Saccharomyces cerevisiae S288C: one gene and its partners. Changing the gene in region 1 together with any one later gene gives a genetic interaction. Each region holds a gene or a part of one and is shown in the gene's direction. Other genes may lie near its edges.

Region 1 (2,912 bases):
GTGAAGTTAAGAAAATTCGCGAACAGGAATAATAATAGGAACGAAAACAGTTCCAAAGTCAAAGATGCGAGTGGATTCAGACTGAGAGTTATTCAAACCGATGGGCACAAAACTAAAAAGACAGACCCTGATTATGAAGTGACAATTGATGGACCCTTAAGGAAGATTGAGCCTTATTTTTTCACTTATAAAACTTTCTGTAAGGAGAGGTGGAGAGATCGTAAGTTGGTGGATGTATTCGTGAGCGAATTCAGGGATCGAGAGCCCAGCTATTATTCCAAAACCATTGCAGAGGGAAAAGTATACTTAAACGATGAACCTGCAAACCTTGATACCATCATTCGTGACGGTGATCTGATCACACATAAAGTACATCGACATGAACCGCCAGTCACATCTAAACCAATAGATATTGTGTTTGAAGACGAAGATATCCTTGTCATTGATAAACCCAGCAGTATTCCAGTGCACCCAACGGGCAGATACAGATTCAATACCATTACAAAAATGCTAGAAAGACAGCTAGGTTATTCAGTACATCCATGTAATAGACTAGACAAGCCAACTAGTGGACTAATGTTTTTAGCCAAGACTCCATTAGGTGCAGATAGAATGGGAGACCAAATGAAAGCGAGGGAAGTCACCAAAGAATACGTAGCCCGCGTGAAGGGCGAGTTCCCTATAGGTATAGTAGAGGTAGATAAGCCTGTCAGATCTGTTAACCCTAAAGTTGCACTAAACGCTGTTTGCGAGATGAGCGATGAAAACGCTAAACATGCCAAGACCGTTTTCCAAAGGGTTAGCTATGATGGACAGACGAGTATTGTAAAGTGTAAACCATTGACAGGTAGAACTCACCAAATAAGAGTCCATTTGCAGTACTTGGGATTTCCCATAGCAAATGACCCTATATACTCGAACCCAGATATCTGGGGTCCAGATTTGGGCCGCGGTGGACTTCAAAACTATGATGACATCGTTCTGAAACTAGACGCTATTGGCAAGACTAATCCTGCAGAGAGCTGGATTCATCCTCATAGCGAGGGTGAATACTTGCTTGGCCGTCAGTGCGAAGAATGCGAGGCTGAAATGTACACAGATCCCGGTACTAATGATCTCGACCTCTGGCTGCATGCCTTCCGGTACGAGTCATTGGAAAGAAATTCGGATACGCAAAAACCTCTCTGGAGTTATAGAACAAAATACCCTGAATGGGCCTTAGAGCCACATCGCCGATATATGGAAATGGCCGTTAAGGAAGCTGGTAAGTGTGGCCCGACAAAGACTGCTTTTAGTGTTGGTGCCGTTCTTGTTCATGGAACTCAAGTACTTGCCACAGGATATTCAAGAGAGCTACCAGGAAACACTCATGCAGAACAGTGTGCTTTGATAAAGTACTCGCAGTTACACCCGAACTGTCCCACTATAGTCCCTATGGGAACAGTGCTCTATACAACCATGGAACCCTGTTCCTTCAGGCTAAGTGGCAATGAGCCTTGCTGCGATAGAATCCTGGCCACCCAAGGTGCCATTGGTACTGTCTTCGTGGGGGTTATGGAGCCCGATACATTTGTTAAAAACAATACAAGTTTGAACAAGCTGGAATCGCACGGTGTGAACTACATACAAATACCAGGCTACGAGGAGGAGTGCACCATCATTGCCTTCAAAGGCCACGATAATAGTGACGACAAAGCTTAGACTATTTAGCATATATATTATCATGTAATCTTACATCATATCTACAATAACCACTCATTACTGGAAACGGAAAAAGGCGCCACCGAAAATTTTGAGTAAAAAGAATGGAATTAACTTCAACCACAACACAGACAAAAAACACTAGATAGTGAACCAAAAGAAAGCACAACACCAAACATGAGCAGCATTCCAGCTGGCACTGATCCTGGGTCCTGCGGTGCTAATTTCAAGAATGACCGCAAGCGCAGAGATAAGATCAACGACCGTATTCAAGAACTATTGAGTATCATTCCCAAAGACTTCTTTAGAGATTATTACGGCAATTCTGGTAGCAATGACACGTTAAGTGAATCCACTCCCGGTGCGCTTGGGTTGTCCAGCAAGGCCAAAGGTACAGGGACCAAGGACGGAAAGCCCAACAAGGGCCAAATTCTCACACAGGCGGTAGAGTACATATCACATCTACAAAATCAAGTGGACACACAGAACAGAGAGGAGGTGGAACTGATGGTGAAGGCCACTCAGTTGGCCAAGCAGACAGGCACCATTGTCAACGATATAAACTTAGAGAACACCAGCGCTGAAGTCGCCCTGTCCAGGATTGGCGTGGGACCGCTGGCCGCAACAAATGATGACTCAGTAAGACCGCCAGCAAAGAGGTTGAGCTCCTTCGAGTACGGAGGGTATGGTGAGTACGGTAATGGTAGCTAAAAGTACTTCTGACTCTCACTATTGCTATGTTGTGATAACCCTCGTTGGTAGTGATACGAACACTTCTCTTCTTTTTTGTTGTTTTTGTGAGAAAAAAAAATCTAAATGAACATATTGCTAATGCAACGGATAGTTAGTTTTATTTTGGTGGTTAGTCAAGGGCGATACTTTCATGTTGGAGAGCTGACCATGACAATGTTGAAAAGACCTCAAGAAGAAGAGTCAGATAATAATGCTACGAAGAAGCTGAAAACGAGATTAACGTACCCTTGTATCCTCGGGAAGGATAAGGTGACGGGCAAATTCATCTTTCCTGCAATCACTAAAGATGATGTTATGAATGCAAGACTGTTTTTGAAGGACAACGATTTGAAAACTTTTTTAGAATATTTTTTGCCAGTGGAAGTCAACTCGATCTACATTTATTTCATGATAAAATTGCTGGGATTCGACGTCAAAGATAAAGAACTATTTATGGCGTTAAACTCTAATATCACTTC
Region 2 (4,262 bases), on another chromosome or scaffold:
TCTGTGGAATCAACAATTCAAACATCTGATATTGGCAAATCTTTCCTTTTGAGAGATAACACTGAAATTAATGAAAAGATATGGGGCACAAGCGGTATACCTTCCAGCATCAACGGTTACATGAGCACTCCCCAACCTTCTACGCCAACTTTAGAATGGGGAAATACTTCTGCATCCCAACATGGTTCTTCGTTCTTTTTACCCTCTGCAGCATCGACAGCCATTGCACCTACGAATAGCAACACCAGTGCCAATGCAAACGCCAGCTCCAACAATGGAGCCAGCAATAATGGTGCTAACCAGGCACTCTCTGCCAGCTCGCAACAACCAATGATGCAAATTGGTAACACGATTAACACTTCCCTAACCTCTTCAAATTCATTGCCTCCATACGGTTTAATGTCTTCTCAATCGCAGCACATTTCAAATATGGTAAACACCTCTGATATGAACATTACACCTCAAAAACAGAACAGATTTATGCAACAACCCCAACCAGAGCATATGTATCCTGTGAATCAAAGTAACACTCCTCAAAAAGTACCGCCCGCAAGATTAAGTTCAAGTAGAAATTCACACAAGAATAACTCTACTACCTCATTATCCTCAAATATTACTGGATCTGCCTCGATTTCTCAGGCTGATTTGTCACTACTAGCCAGAATTCCACCTCCTGCCAACCCTGCTGATCAAAATCCACCTTGTAATACCCTTTATGTAGGGAATTTACCCTCCGACGCTACTGAGCAAGAACTAAGACAGCTATTTTCTGGTCAAGAAGGCTTCAGAAGACTATCATTCAGGAATAAGAATACCACATCTAATGGTCATAGTCACGGACCGATGTGCTTCGTTGAATTCGATGATGTCAGTTTTGCAACCAGAGCGTTAGCTGAATTGTATGGTAGACAGTTACCTCGCTCCACTGTGAGCAGTAAGGGAGGTATCAGATTAAGCTTTTCAAAAAACCCACTGGGTGTTAGGGGCCCAAACAGCAGAAGAGGAGGCAGTGGTAACCCAAATCCTAATGTAAATATGCTTTCCAGTTACAATTCTAATGTTGGTCATATAAAAAACTAAAAAAATGGTTCCGCAAAAACCTGATTTCCTTGCATGTATCACATTATATGCATTGCTTTTCATCTTTCCCCCACTATAATAAGAATAATATTTTCTGTCGCATTTTTTCTTTTTCTTTTATTATTTGTTATAATAATATTTTCTAAACCGACTAATAATAAGAATAACATCGATAATACTTTATCTCTTCAATTACGTTAAATTATCTTTTTACTATTACATTACAACGTGCATATAACAGAAATTTTTTCTTTTTCTGTCTAACATTTGAATTGTACTATGAATTAAACCCGCCATCTTTTTTCTTAACTACCATTTTGCGAACTCCTATACCGCTTCTGCAACAACAAGAACTTTTATTTTCAATTTTAATGTGCCATTCATTCCATTTTGCTTGCGCTAATGTGAATAAGATTGAGAGGGAAAAGTCTCACTATCGAATATCGCTCTTTAGTGTGATTATTGTCATCAAAGCACCAAGTGCTTAGGTGAGGTCATATCCGACAAATGTTTTGAAGAGAGAATATCTTTTTTTTATGCTGCCAACTTTTATTCTTTCCTTGTTTAAAAAACTCTGCCTTTGGATATTCTCCCACTATATATATGTATTAGCCTTACTTTTATTCCAGAACTCATTTTTATAGAAGTATATATCGGTATCGACTTCAATGTAATATTTTCAACCCTATGCTACAAGAGCAGATTAAAAAAATATGGGCTACCAGTGGCAAGAACATATTTGATATTTCGAAGTTCTACTTTGTTTATGACCGAACTGATCAATTTTATGAATGTCTTTCAATGGAATCTCAATACGGGTAATAACGTCATATTTCTTATTTTTCTTGGACAATTTGTCCAAAATAAAATTTTCACGACTTTTCTCCTTCAAGTACCGCGACTTCTGCGATAGTTGTCCGTTAGACATAATAATCATTAACGCATCCATAAGGTGCTTGCGGTCTGTATTTGACTTTCTTCACATTCTTACGCCTAGACTGAATGGGAAAACAACCAAGAAACCAAAAAGGAACCTGAGAACACAAAGAGTATTTGACGAAAAGTTACACTCACATAATGCATCACCAAACTAAGTTAGATGTATTCATAATCAGAGCTTATAATTTACTGTCTAACGAGTCTGTCATTAGTGGTGCTTCCTTGCAGAGTGTTACAAACTCGCCACAGACGACAACGAACACGCCCTCAGGTATGGTTAACGGGGCGGTTGGAACAGGGATAGCTAATCCAACAGGGTTGATGGGGTCTGATAGCACACCTAACATCGATGAGATTATAACTAGCACTGGTAGTAATGCTCTGACGAAAACCAACTCAGATAGCGCTAATGGTACGCCGAATGGTAATTCAAGTTCTACCTCAGCCATTAGCAATGCAAGCAATCCTGCCACTACTGGTAATAATGCGAGCTCTAGTGCCACCTCAAATGGAATATATACGCAAGCGCAATATTCTCAACTTTTCGCCAAAATATCAAAACTATATAACGCTACACTATCATCTGGGTCAATTGACGATAGATCAACATCACCAAAATCGGCAATCGAACTATATCAAAGATTTCAACAGATGATTAAGGAACTAGAGCTGAGTTTTGACGCAAGTCCTTACGCAAAATACTTCCGCCGGTTGGATGGAAGGCTTTGGCAAATAAAGACAGACTCAGAATTAGAAAACGATGAATTGTGGCGATTAGTCTCAATGAGCATATTTACAGTATTCGATCCTCAGACCGGCCAAATTCTAACTCAAGGACGCAGGAAGGGAAACTCCTTAAATACATCAACTAAAGGCTCCCCATCAGATTTACAGGGAATAAACAACGGGAACAATAATGGGAACAATGGTAATATTGGAAATGGGAGTAATATTAAGAACTATGGAAATAAAAACATGCCAAACAACCGAACGAAAAAAAGAGGCACCAGGGTGGCTAAAAATGCTAAAAATGGGAAAAACAATAAAAATAGTAATAAAGAGAGAAACGGCATTACAGATACGAGTGCATTCAGTAATACAACAATAAGCAACCCAGGTACCAATATGCTTTTTGATCCATCATTGTCTCAACAGTTACAAAAACGACTGCAAACGCTATCACAAGATGTCAATTCTCGTTCGTTGACAGGATATTATACACAGCCAACCAGTCCTGGCTCAGGAGGATTTGAATTTGGTTTGAGTCATGCAGATCTGAACCCCAATGCTTCCAGTAATACCATGGGCTATAATACAATGTCCAATAATGGATCCCATTCGTGGAAACGAAGGTCACTGGGATCGTTAGATGTTAATACGCTGGATGACGAAGCGGTGGAAGAACTTTTGCAACTGACAAATACGAGTAAGAGGCAGAGGCCGATGACAACTGCAGCAGAGGGTGCGTTAATAAATGATGGTCCGGACACTAATTTAAACGCGAATAACACCCAAATGAAAGTTGATTTAAATCCTTCAAACAGCATGGGACCTATAGATACAGAAGCCGTGATACGCCCATTGAAAGAAGCTTATGACGCAATCATTTCTGAAAAAGGCCAAAGAATTGTGCAATTAGAAAGAGAATTGGAATTACAGCGCCAAGAGACGCAGTGGTTAAGGAAAATGTTAATTGAAGACATGGGTTGTGTTAGAAGTATGTTAAGGGATTTACAAAGATGACACGATAATAATGTTTAACATATATTGCTTTCTCTTTTAATTTTCTGGTGTAGATTGGCGGTATAATTAACTATTTAACAGTGACGTTTACTATCTTACTGTTTCTTGTACTCTTTTATAATGAACAGACGTTATTATATAACTACGAACTAATGATAATTCTTTTTACGTTATTCCTGATGTAAAGGATACAAAATGGGTTTCTTTATTTTGCAGCAGAACCGTAAAATTTACGCTACTTTTACCGTGGGTCCTCTTATTTGATTGTTTCCGTCGCTACGAGCGAACAAGGGGTGGAGACAATAGGGATGGTGAATATATACACATACGTTCATATATAAGAAAAAAACTCAAGAAGAATATCAAACGACCAGGATCCTTGCTTATATTATTGTCTGTTGCTGGGCCAACACATATTTTCATTTCAACACACCAATCTCAGGTATTAAAGAGAAATCATTGTAAGGTAAAAATGTCTACGTTGAAAGTTGTTTCATCAA
Region 3 (4,774 bases), on another chromosome or scaffold:
TACGACATATATGGGAAGTAATACATATTGATTCTACAAGAAGTTCAAGCCAAGGTTTAGATATGAGTGACCAAATCAACGTTTTGTCAATGCAACAACAACAACAGCAGCAGCAGCAGCAGCAGCAAGTATATATGTCTCCTCAAGCAGAAAACTTGAATCATATGTACTTGTTAGTTAACAAGCTAGTGAAACAGTTGAGGGAAAATCAAGCAGAAAAGGCGAAAATACTAAGGAACATAGACATATTATCCGGAAGCTTAAACAAGTATGAGACATCTGAAGAACCTCACGATACCACGGAAAATATTGCATTATTTAATAGATTTCTAGAACAAAGAGGGAAAGCTCCTATTACTGAGAAAGAGCAACTAAGCAACAATCTGGATGAAAATGCGAAAGATGACGTTATGCTAGGAGTGTTGAAGCGCCAAAATTCAATGCTCCGGAAAAGTTTACAGGAATCCAAGCAGGTAACCCTTGAATCCATGGATTTATTGTCTTACTCCGAAGACTCTTTAAATTACATTGTCGCCCAATTAAGAGGAAACATTCTAATGCATCATAAAGAGACTATCAAATTGATTAGGCAGAAATTCCAGACGGAGACAATTCCCCTCGAAGATGAAGAGTTCAAGATGTATTTGGAAAATGTTAATGGTCTGCAAAAATTGACAGATATATCTCACACTTATAGATTACTACTGAGGTTACATGCACAAGATTGAAACTTTGCCCTTTTGCTTCCAATGAAAGCAAGATGACAAATATACATGCTTCTTATATTCGAGATTGCGCAAAAATTCGAAGCTCATTTATGAAGGCTTTTTCCATTCTGATATATGTTTATGAAATTGAAAAAGTAACGACGGTGGAACATTTTGCGGGAAAACAACTCACAGAATGTCTTGACGTTCTTTTCCTGCAGTTGCGTGCGTAAGATATCCTAAGCTACTGTATTATTTGCCAAAAATAATAAAATGTTGGAGGAAAGCCTCTATAAATACACAGGATATATATGTTTAATAAACATATATAATTTCCTCAATATTTGCAAAAGCATTTTGTTGTGATGAGAGTCGATTATCGTTTACCGATTAGTATCTATACTATTAATATATTTTCATATAATTAGTATAATCTCATATACGCTGCCAGAAGATAACATGAAAATTAAGAAACAATCATCAGCTTCAATGGAAGTTGAAGTGCAAGGATAAATAATACTATTTAGAAATATGGATTTTCCCTCGTTGACTAGAAGATCTGTGAAGATTGGGTGAATAGTTTAATAATTATTGGATCCCATTATTGATCAAGGCTATAATACTTGACTATTTGGCGAATTTTGAGATAATTGTTGGGATTCCATTGTTGATAAAGGCCATAATATTATGTATACAGGATATACTAGAAGTTCTCCTCGATGATATAGGAATCCTCGAAATGGAATCTATATTTCTACATACTAATATTACGATTATTCCTCATTCCGTTTTATATGTTTCATTATCCTATTGCATTATCAATCCTTGCACTTCAGCTTCCTCTAACTTCGATGACAGCTTCTCATAACTTATGTCATCATCTTTACACCGTATATGATAATATATTGATAATATAACTATTAGTTGATAGACGATAGTGGATTTTTATTCCAACACACTAATTATCATTCGTTACATCTCAAATTGGTTAGAGAAGTTACAAACATTATTATTGATTTATCCAAGGATAGTTTTCACAAGAAAACAAGCGCAAGTGGTTTAGTGGTAAAATCCAACGTTGCCATCGTTGGGCCCCCGGTTCGATTCCGGGCTTGCGCAGTTTCTTTTTTTTCTGATTTTTATTTTTTTGTTCCTGAAAATTTTTCGTATTATTAGATCTAGTAGAAAATGAAAGACATTTGAAAAGAGAAATATATATTCTGCAGTAAGCTAGCTAAGACTAGTCGTTTTGAAGCGCTAAAACGTTAACTTCGATTCATAGCACAAAAGGTAAATAACTTTTTTGAAATGGCAAGCATCGGTTCGCAAGTGAGAAAAGCTGCTTCTAGTATTGACCCTATCGTCACGGATTACGCAGTGGGCTACTTTAACCACTTGTCCGGAATAACTTTTGATGCTGTTCAAAGTAAGCAGGTAGATTTGTCCACTGAAGTGCAATTTGTGTCCGATTTATTGATTGATGCGGGTGCGTCAAAGGCTAAAGTTAAAGAACTATCGGAAAGTATTTTGAAGCAATTGACTACTCAACTAAAGGAGAACGAAGCCAAATTGGAATTGACCGGTGATACGTCCAAGAGATTACTTGATATTAATGTCTTAAAGAGTCATAACAGTAAATCCGATATCAACGTCTCATTAAGCATGCTGGGTGTGAACGGTGACATCGAACATACTGGTAGAAAGATGGAAACAAGAGTTGATTTGAAAAAACTGGCCAAGGCTGAACAAAAGATCGCAAAGAAAGTCGCCAAGAGAAATAACAAATTTGTTAAATACGAGGCTTCTAAATTGATCAATGACCAAAAGGAGGAGGATTACGATTCTTTCTTTTTGCAAATCAACCCTTTAGAATTCGGTTCATCCGCTGGTAAATCCAAGGATATCCATATTGACACTTTCGACTTGTACGTTGGTGACGGTCAAAGAATTTTGTCCAACGCCCAATTGACTCTAAGTTTTGGTCACAGATATGGTCTTGTGGGCCAAAATGGTATTGGTAAATCTACTTTGTTAAGGGCTCTATCTAGAAGAGAGCTGAACGTCCCCAAACATGTTTCGATTTTACACGTGGAACAAGAGTTAAGAGGTGATGATACAAAGGCTTTACAAAGTGTGCTGGATGCAGACGTTTGGAGAAAACAACTATTAAGTGAAGAAGCCAAGATCAATGAAAGATTAAAGGAAATGGATGTATTAAGACAGGAATTCGAAGAAGACAGTTTAGAAGTTAAAAAATTGGACAATGAAAGAGAAGACTTGGATAACCATTTGATACAGATTTCTGACAAATTAGTCGATATGGAATCTGACAAGGCTGAAGCTAGGGCAGCATCAATCTTATATGGTTTGGGGTTCAGTACGGAGGCACAGCAACAACCCACTAATTCCTTTTCCGGTGGTTGGAGAATGAGATTGTCCTTGGCAAGAGCCTTATTCTGTCAACCAGATCTTTTGTTGTTAGATGAACCTTCCAATATGTTGGATGTGCCATCCATCGCTTATTTAGCAGAGTATTTGAAAACATATCCAAATACAGTTTTGACAGTTTCTCACGACCGTGCATTCTTGAATGAAGTGGCTACAGATATCATTTATCAACACAACGAAAGACTAGACTATTACAGAGGCCAAGATTTCGATACCTTTTACACCACAAAGGAGGAACGTAGAAAGAATGCTCAACGTGAGTATGATAACCAAATGGTTTACAGAAAGCACTTGCAAGAGTTTATTGACAAATACAGATACAATGCTGCCAAATCACAGGAAGCTCAATCAAGAATTAAGAAATTGGAAAAATTGCCCGTTTTGGAGCCACCTGAACAAGACAAAACCATTGATTTCAAATTCCCTGAATGTGATAAATTGTCTCCACCAATTATCCAATTGCAAGACGTTTCCTTTGGTTATGATGAAAACAACCTATTATTGAAAGATGTTAACCTGGACGTTCAAATGGATTCCAGAATTGCCCTTGTAGGTGCCAATGGTTGTGGTAAGACTACACTGTTGAAGATTATGATGGAGCAGTTAAGACCACTAAAAGGCTTTGTATCAAGAAACCCAAGATTACGTATAGGCTACTTCACTCAACATCATGTGGATTCTATGGATTTGACCACGTCTGCAGTGGACTGGATGTCCAAATCCTTCCCAGGTAAAACTGATGAAGAGTATAGACGTCATCTAGGTTCATTTGGTATCACTGGTACCCTGGGTCTACAAAAGATGCAATTATTATCCGGTGGTCAAAAATCTCGTGTAGCATTCGCTGCATTGTGTTTAAATAATCCACACATTTTGGTTCTGGATGAACCTTCTAACCATTTGGATACCACTGGTCTAGACGCTTTGGTAGAAGCCTTGAAAAATTTCAACGGTGGTGTCTTAATGGTTTCCCATGATATCTCTGTTATTGACTCTGTTTGTAAAGAGATTTGGGTTTCAGAGCAAGGTACTGTCAAGAGGTTCGAAGGTACAATTTACGACTATAGAGATTACATCTTGCAGTCTGCTGATGCTGCAGGTGTGGTTAAAAAGCATTGATTATTTAGGAAGCACCTCAGAATATATTTTCCATAGAAGCCTAAATTAAGTATGCATTCATAGCCCCATGATACTTTTTTTTTTTGACTACTTGTATTGGAATCTAATTGACCTAACTGGGCATTCTGGGTCATTGGTATATGTATCACTTTTTACGTAAAAAAGTAGTGGCTAATATAAAACATAAAATCTACAAGAAGGGTGAAGTGCTTTTCGAATTTTGCCACTGCAAGTAATTGGTGCAATTGAAATACGAGATTTCGTTCTCTAAGAGGATATAAAAATAAGGAAATTAGCCCTACCTATCCTTGTGTTAAAATATGAGCGGAGAAACGTTTGAGTTCAATATTAGACATTCTGGTAAAGTTTACCCAATAACACTTTCCACTGATGCTACTTCAGCAGATTTGAAAAGCAAAGCAGAGGAATTGACCCAAGTCCCAAGTGCCCGCCAAAAATACATGGTTAAAGGTGGCTTGTCTGGCGAAGAGTCCATTAAA
Region 4 (4,961 bases), on another chromosome or scaffold:
AATGAGGCACAGACTAATCATAACACGAAAATTGAATACATCCCACGATATAGCATAACCAAATGTCGGAACATAACTAGCAATACAATTTTTACATCGGGCCGAATCCGTCGGAGAGTGATAAGACGGAGTTAAAATATCTCTCAAAACCATGGAACAACAATATGTGTACATATATAAAGCTTTTGAGTGAAAAGATTTCTTTCCACTATTTACTGTCAATTTTATTCAACACGAAAGGGAATTAAGTGCACATAAATACTTCATTTCTTGATAAGGAAGTATAATATTGCTCCTAAGAAGAGTTTGAAATGAGCGATGTTCTATCTCAATATAAAGGGTGCTCAGTCAGAGATTTACCCACACCCAATTTCGTTATTAATGAAGAAAAATTTGATAAGAATTGTACGACAATGTTGAACAACGTTGAAAAGCTCAGCCAGGAATGTGGCGTACCAATCAAATTTCGTGCACACGTAAAAACGCATAAGACAGCAAAGGGAACTTTGAAACAATTGGGCCACGGACTTCCATTGGCTAAACGCACTACAAGAGCCATATTAGTATCAACTTTGAAAGAAGCAGAAGAACTTCTTAATTATCAAGATAGACAATGTTCGGATTATATTGACGATATAACATATAGTTTACCCTGTTGCGTTCCAGAGTTTATTCCTCTTTTGAGCAATTTGTCAAGAAGGGTGAATAATTTTCAGGTTTTTGTTGATAACATTGAACACTTGGAGAATTTAAAGAATTTCGGTAGGCCTGCTTCCGGCAAGAAATGGTCGGTTTTTATCAAGGTTGATATGGGGACTAAGAGGGCAGGTCTTGCTTTCGACTCTCCAGAATTTTTGAGTCTTTTAAAAAAACTGACTTCCTCAGAAATTAAAGAAGTAATTGAGCCATATGGGTTTTATGCTCATGCCGGACACAGCTACTCTTCAACCTCGATCAACGACACTCAGAATCTTTTGATGGAAGAAGTGAAAGCAGTCAATTCTGCCGCTAAAGTTTTGTGCTCTGTGGATCCTCAGTTTGATCCTTCTAAATTAACACTTTCTGTGGGCGCTACTCCGACTTCCAATTCTTTGAAACTCGATAATAAAAGTACCCTTGTTAAATTCATTACTACTCAATTAGTTAGTACGCTTGAAATCCACTGCGGTAATTACTGCATGTATGACCTGCAACAGGTGGCAACAGGCTGTGTCCAAGATCACGAATTGTCTGGTTTTGTATTAGGAACAGTACTATCATCTTACCCTTCTAGAGGTGAATTGTTGAGTAATACAGGTGTAATGTGTCTAACGCGAGAAGCATCCTCAATAAAAGGGTTTGGAATATGTGCTGATTTGGAACATGTGTTAAAATCCGAGAGTTTCAGTAGGGAATGGTATGTAGCAAGGGTCTCTCAAGAACACGGGATACTGAGGCCAATAAGAAACTGGAACGAAACTACTCCATTAAAATTAGGCAGCAAAATTGCCGTCCTTCCTCAACACGCTTGTATCACAATGGGACAATTTCCATATTATTTCGTGGTAAACAGCGAAGGCATTGTCAACGATGTTTGGTTACCTTTTCAGAAATGGTAAGCTCTCTTTTGTCGTTGGTTATCACTCTCATCAAAGCATCTCTGTGTCTATGTAATTGTGTATCTATTTATAAATAGTAACTAAGAGTAAGGTTGTACACAGGTTGGTCTAAACACCCTCTTGTTAAGCTTCCGCATTACCTGCGAGCTGGTAATTGTAATACAGATTTATTTGTTGATATAATGCTATGAAATTTCAACTACCGTCATTGAGCTTCTCAATAAAGTCGTTACGTACGAATGAAAAATTTGAATAATTTAAACCTTCGAAAAGATCTTTGAGTTGTACTTATTAAACCTGAAGTAGATCATTAAGACAAACAAAGCTCTGACTGACACCAATAACTCCTACAGTGATGACAGCTATCTTAAACTGGGAAGATATATCCCCTGTTTTAGAGAAAGGCACCCGCGAATCACACGTGTCTAAAAGAGTTCCCTTTTTGCAAGATATATCACAATTAGTTCGTCAAGAAACATTGGAAAAACCTCAATTATCTGAAATTGCTTTCGTTTTATTGAATACCTTCACGATTTACGAAGACAATAGGTCTAAAAGTTTGGTAACTTCAATATTGCTTGACATCTTAAATCTAGAGCCATGTCTCCTAGAAAACTTTATCCGATTCATTTCCGACGTGGTCATCAGTAATCCGGCTACCAAAGCAGTCGCTGATTACCTTAATTTGTTAGATTGGATTAATTCTTTCTTGATTTTTGTGTCGCATAATTCTAATTTATTTGAAGAGTACATTCCAAAATTGTTGGTCGCCCATTCTTATGCAACGTTCGGTGTGGAAACTATTCTTGACAATCAAGAAGAAGGCAAGAAATCCCAAGATAAGCAGAACCAGCATAGAAAGAGAATTCGTTATTGCATTTTCCAAACAACGGTCAAAGCATTCCTTAAGTGCTTGAAGGATAATGACGACAGTATTTCCTTCATGAAGATTTCAATTAAAACTGTACTGGAGAGCTACTCTAAGCTGAAGATAACCAGTGTTGGAGTAGTTATGATAATGGGTGCACTAACTCAGGCTGCACTTCAGTTATTATCGAGGCAACCAGCTCTGCACTCCGTTTTAAAGGAAAATTCTGCAGAGAAATATTGCGAATATTTGGGCAAAGAAGTGTTTTTAGGCAAAAACCCACCATCTTCCTTTTGCTTAGAGATTGGTTTGAAGCCATTTTTAAAAGAATTTGTTTCACAAGAGTTATTCATTAAGTTTTTCATCCCTAATATTGAAAAAGCAGTTTTAAGATCTCCTGAGGTTGGTTTTTCGATTTTATCTGAGTTATATGCTGGTGTTTCTCCTGAAAAAGTAAATCTCTTAAATGCCTTTGCTTCCTCGAAACTGATTAATCAATACTTCTCGTCATTTAAAAGCTCAAAAGAGGTAGTTAGATCCGTCTCGCTTCAGTCTATGATAATCTTATTGAGAAAAATTTCCAATACTGACACTACCTTGGAAGATTTGACCAAGCTTATTGACGAAATATTTAAGAACATCAAATCGAACTTAAATGCAGATTACAAATCACTTATTTCCAAAATTCTCATAGAAATACCCTTAACGCACTATGAGGTTTCAGAAAAAATCTGCAAAGGGCTGTCCCCATATATTGGTAAAGAAGGTAATGAAGCAGCCTTGACTCTAATGCTTAACGCTTTTTTTGTTCATTATTTTAGTCTGGGCAAACCTATTGAAGACTTGGATAAAATTATATCAGCTGGTTTTGCAGATAAAAAACCTGCTTTGAAAAAATGCTGGTTTGCCGCATTTTTGAACAATTCCAATGCTGCCTCTGAAGAGGTGATTTTAAACTTTATAGACGGTTGTTTGGAATTTGTGAAAGACTCCATCATACATTATCAGACTCACGGGCATGCATGTATTCTAGCATCAATTGAATTTACAAACAAAATTTTGGCATTGGACAATACTGAGCTAAATGATCGTGTTATGCAGCTCATAGAAACCCTTCCTGAAAATTCTTCGATAGGTGATGCTATCTTAACTGCTGCATTATCAACAGAGCTATCCATCGAAAACCGTATTCATGCTGTTAATTTACTACAAGAATTGTTCTACAAGAAACCCGAATTTATTGGGTTTAGCGTGATTGATGCAATTGAAAGGAGAATGCGTGTCCAAGAATTAATACCTCAACAAAATACATCCTTTAAATATGTCACTTCTGTACTACTGGCCATTACGTCTGAGTTACCTGACAAGGAAGCCTCGATAAAGGTATTAATCAATGCTCTGGTCATAGCGCAATGGAATATTTTCAACATTAAGAATGGCTGGGCTGGTTTAGTTTTACGTGCAAGGCTTGATCCAGCTGAAGTTGTCAAAGAACATGCTAGCGTTATCATGGAGAAGATTCTTGAAATCACAGGTAGTTGTGAATGGATAGATACAATTTATGGTGCATGCGGTTTGCAAGCAGCTGCCTATGCAGCATTTATTCAGCCTAATGAGTTCACACCGATCCTTTGTAAGACTATCGAAGCAGATTTAACCGCGGATGATTTCTCACGTTTATCTGAAGAGGACTTCGAAATTTTTGCAGGAGAGGAAGGTGTTCTGGTGGTTGACGTCCTGGAAGAAAGCATGAATAAGAAACTTTCCAATAAAAATTCTAAAGAGTACGAAACTCTAATGTGGGAACAAAAAATAAGGAAGGAGCAAGCCAAAAAGAATGTGAAAAAACTTTCAAAAGAGGAACAAGAGCTCGTTAATGAACAGTTAGCGAAAGAATCTGCAGTTAGATCACACGTTTCGGAAATTTCCACTCGTTTAAAGCGTGGTATTAGATTGGTATCTGAACTTTCCAAAGCTGCTTGCTTAGTCCAAAATGGCATCGCTACTTGGTTCCCCTTGGCAGTCACAAAGCTTTTGTACCTATGCTCGGAACCAAATATTTCAAAGCTAACAGAGGATGTAAATAATGTGTTCTTGCAGCTTTCTCAAAATGTCTCCGAGAGATTAGGTAATATCAGACTTTTCTTAGGTTTGGCGACTTTGCGTGTGCACAATGCTAATGGCATCTCGCAAGATTATTTACAAGAACCACTGGTTGAATTACTTACAAGAGTTCTTTTTAGGATCAAGTTCGTCTCCAACCAAGCAGCAATAGATTCCATCAGTTTGACATATATTTTACCATTGTTGATTAATGTTTTAGAAAAGGGTAAGGCGATTGCATTAAAGAATGCGGACAAGCCTGTTGTTAAGGCTGAGTTTGTTGAAGAAGATGAAGAAGAAGAACATCTGTTACTGGCCATGGAAATTATTTCTGTACACGCTGAAGCTTTTGAGGATCCTTCCATTCCGAGAATTTCCATTGTTGAAGTGTT

The links.
Region 2: mutations in RTG1 (region 1) and GCR2 together harm fitness more than expected from each alone (negative genetic interaction), as found in Saccharomyces cerevisiae (4 studies listed by BioGRID).
Region 3: mutations in RTG1 (region 1) and GCN20 together harm fitness more than expected from each alone (negative genetic interaction), as found in Saccharomyces cerevisiae (3 studies listed by BioGRID).
Region 4: mutations in RTG1 (region 1) and GCN1 together harm fitness more than expected from each alone (negative genetic interaction), as found in Saccharomyces cerevisiae (4 studies listed by BioGRID).

What each region holds. Positions count from the first base shown.
Region 1 is NC_001147.6:201,485-204,396, reverse strand, and holds RTG1 (Rtg1p), read left to right. Parts: upstream 1-1,878; coding exon 1,879-2,412; downstream 2,413-2,912. Other genes in the region: bifunctional DRAP deaminase/tRNA pseudouridine synthase RIB2, read left to right, coding at 1-1,701; histone deacetylase HST1, read left to right, coding at 2,518-2,912. UniProt on the Saccharomyces cerevisiae protein: Required for a novel path of interorganelle communication between mitochondria, peroxisomes and the nucleus, thereby maintaining a functional metabolic interaction between the tricarboxylic acid and glyoxylate cycles.
Region 2 is NC_001146.8:264,426-268,687, reverse strand, and holds GCR2 (Gcr2p), read left to right. Parts: upstream 1-2,157; coding exon 2,158-3,762; downstream 3,763-4,262. Other genes in the region: mRNA-binding protein WHI3, read left to right, coding at 1-1,080; NNR1 (NADHX epimerase), read left to right, coding at 4,235-4,262. UniProt on the Saccharomyces cerevisiae protein: Transcriptional activator required for the expression of glycolytic genes. Enhances the CT box-dependent transcriptional activation of a RAP1-GCR1 complex. Required for GCR1 phosphorylation.
Region 3 is NC_001138.5:160,473-165,246, forward strand, and holds GCN20 (putative AAA family ATPase GCN20), read left to right. Parts: upstream 1-2,015; coding exon 2,016-4,274; downstream 4,275-4,774. Other genes in the region: FAR7 (Far7p), read left to right, coding at 63-728; ubiquitin-specific protease UBP6, read left to right, coding at 4,595-4,774. UniProt on the Saccharomyces cerevisiae protein: Acts as a positive activator of the GCN2 protein kinase activity in response to in response to low amino acid, carbon, or purine availability.
Region 4 is NC_001139.9:129,572-134,532, forward strand, and holds the start of GCN1 (Gcn1p), read left to right. Parts: upstream 1-1,953; coding exon 1,954-4,961. Other genes in the region: D-serine ammonia-lyase DSD1, read left to right, coding at 312-1,598. UniProt on the Saccharomyces cerevisiae protein: Ribosome collision sensor that activates a translation quality control pathway when a ribosome has stalled during translation. Directly binds to the ribosome and acts as a sentinel for colliding ribosomes.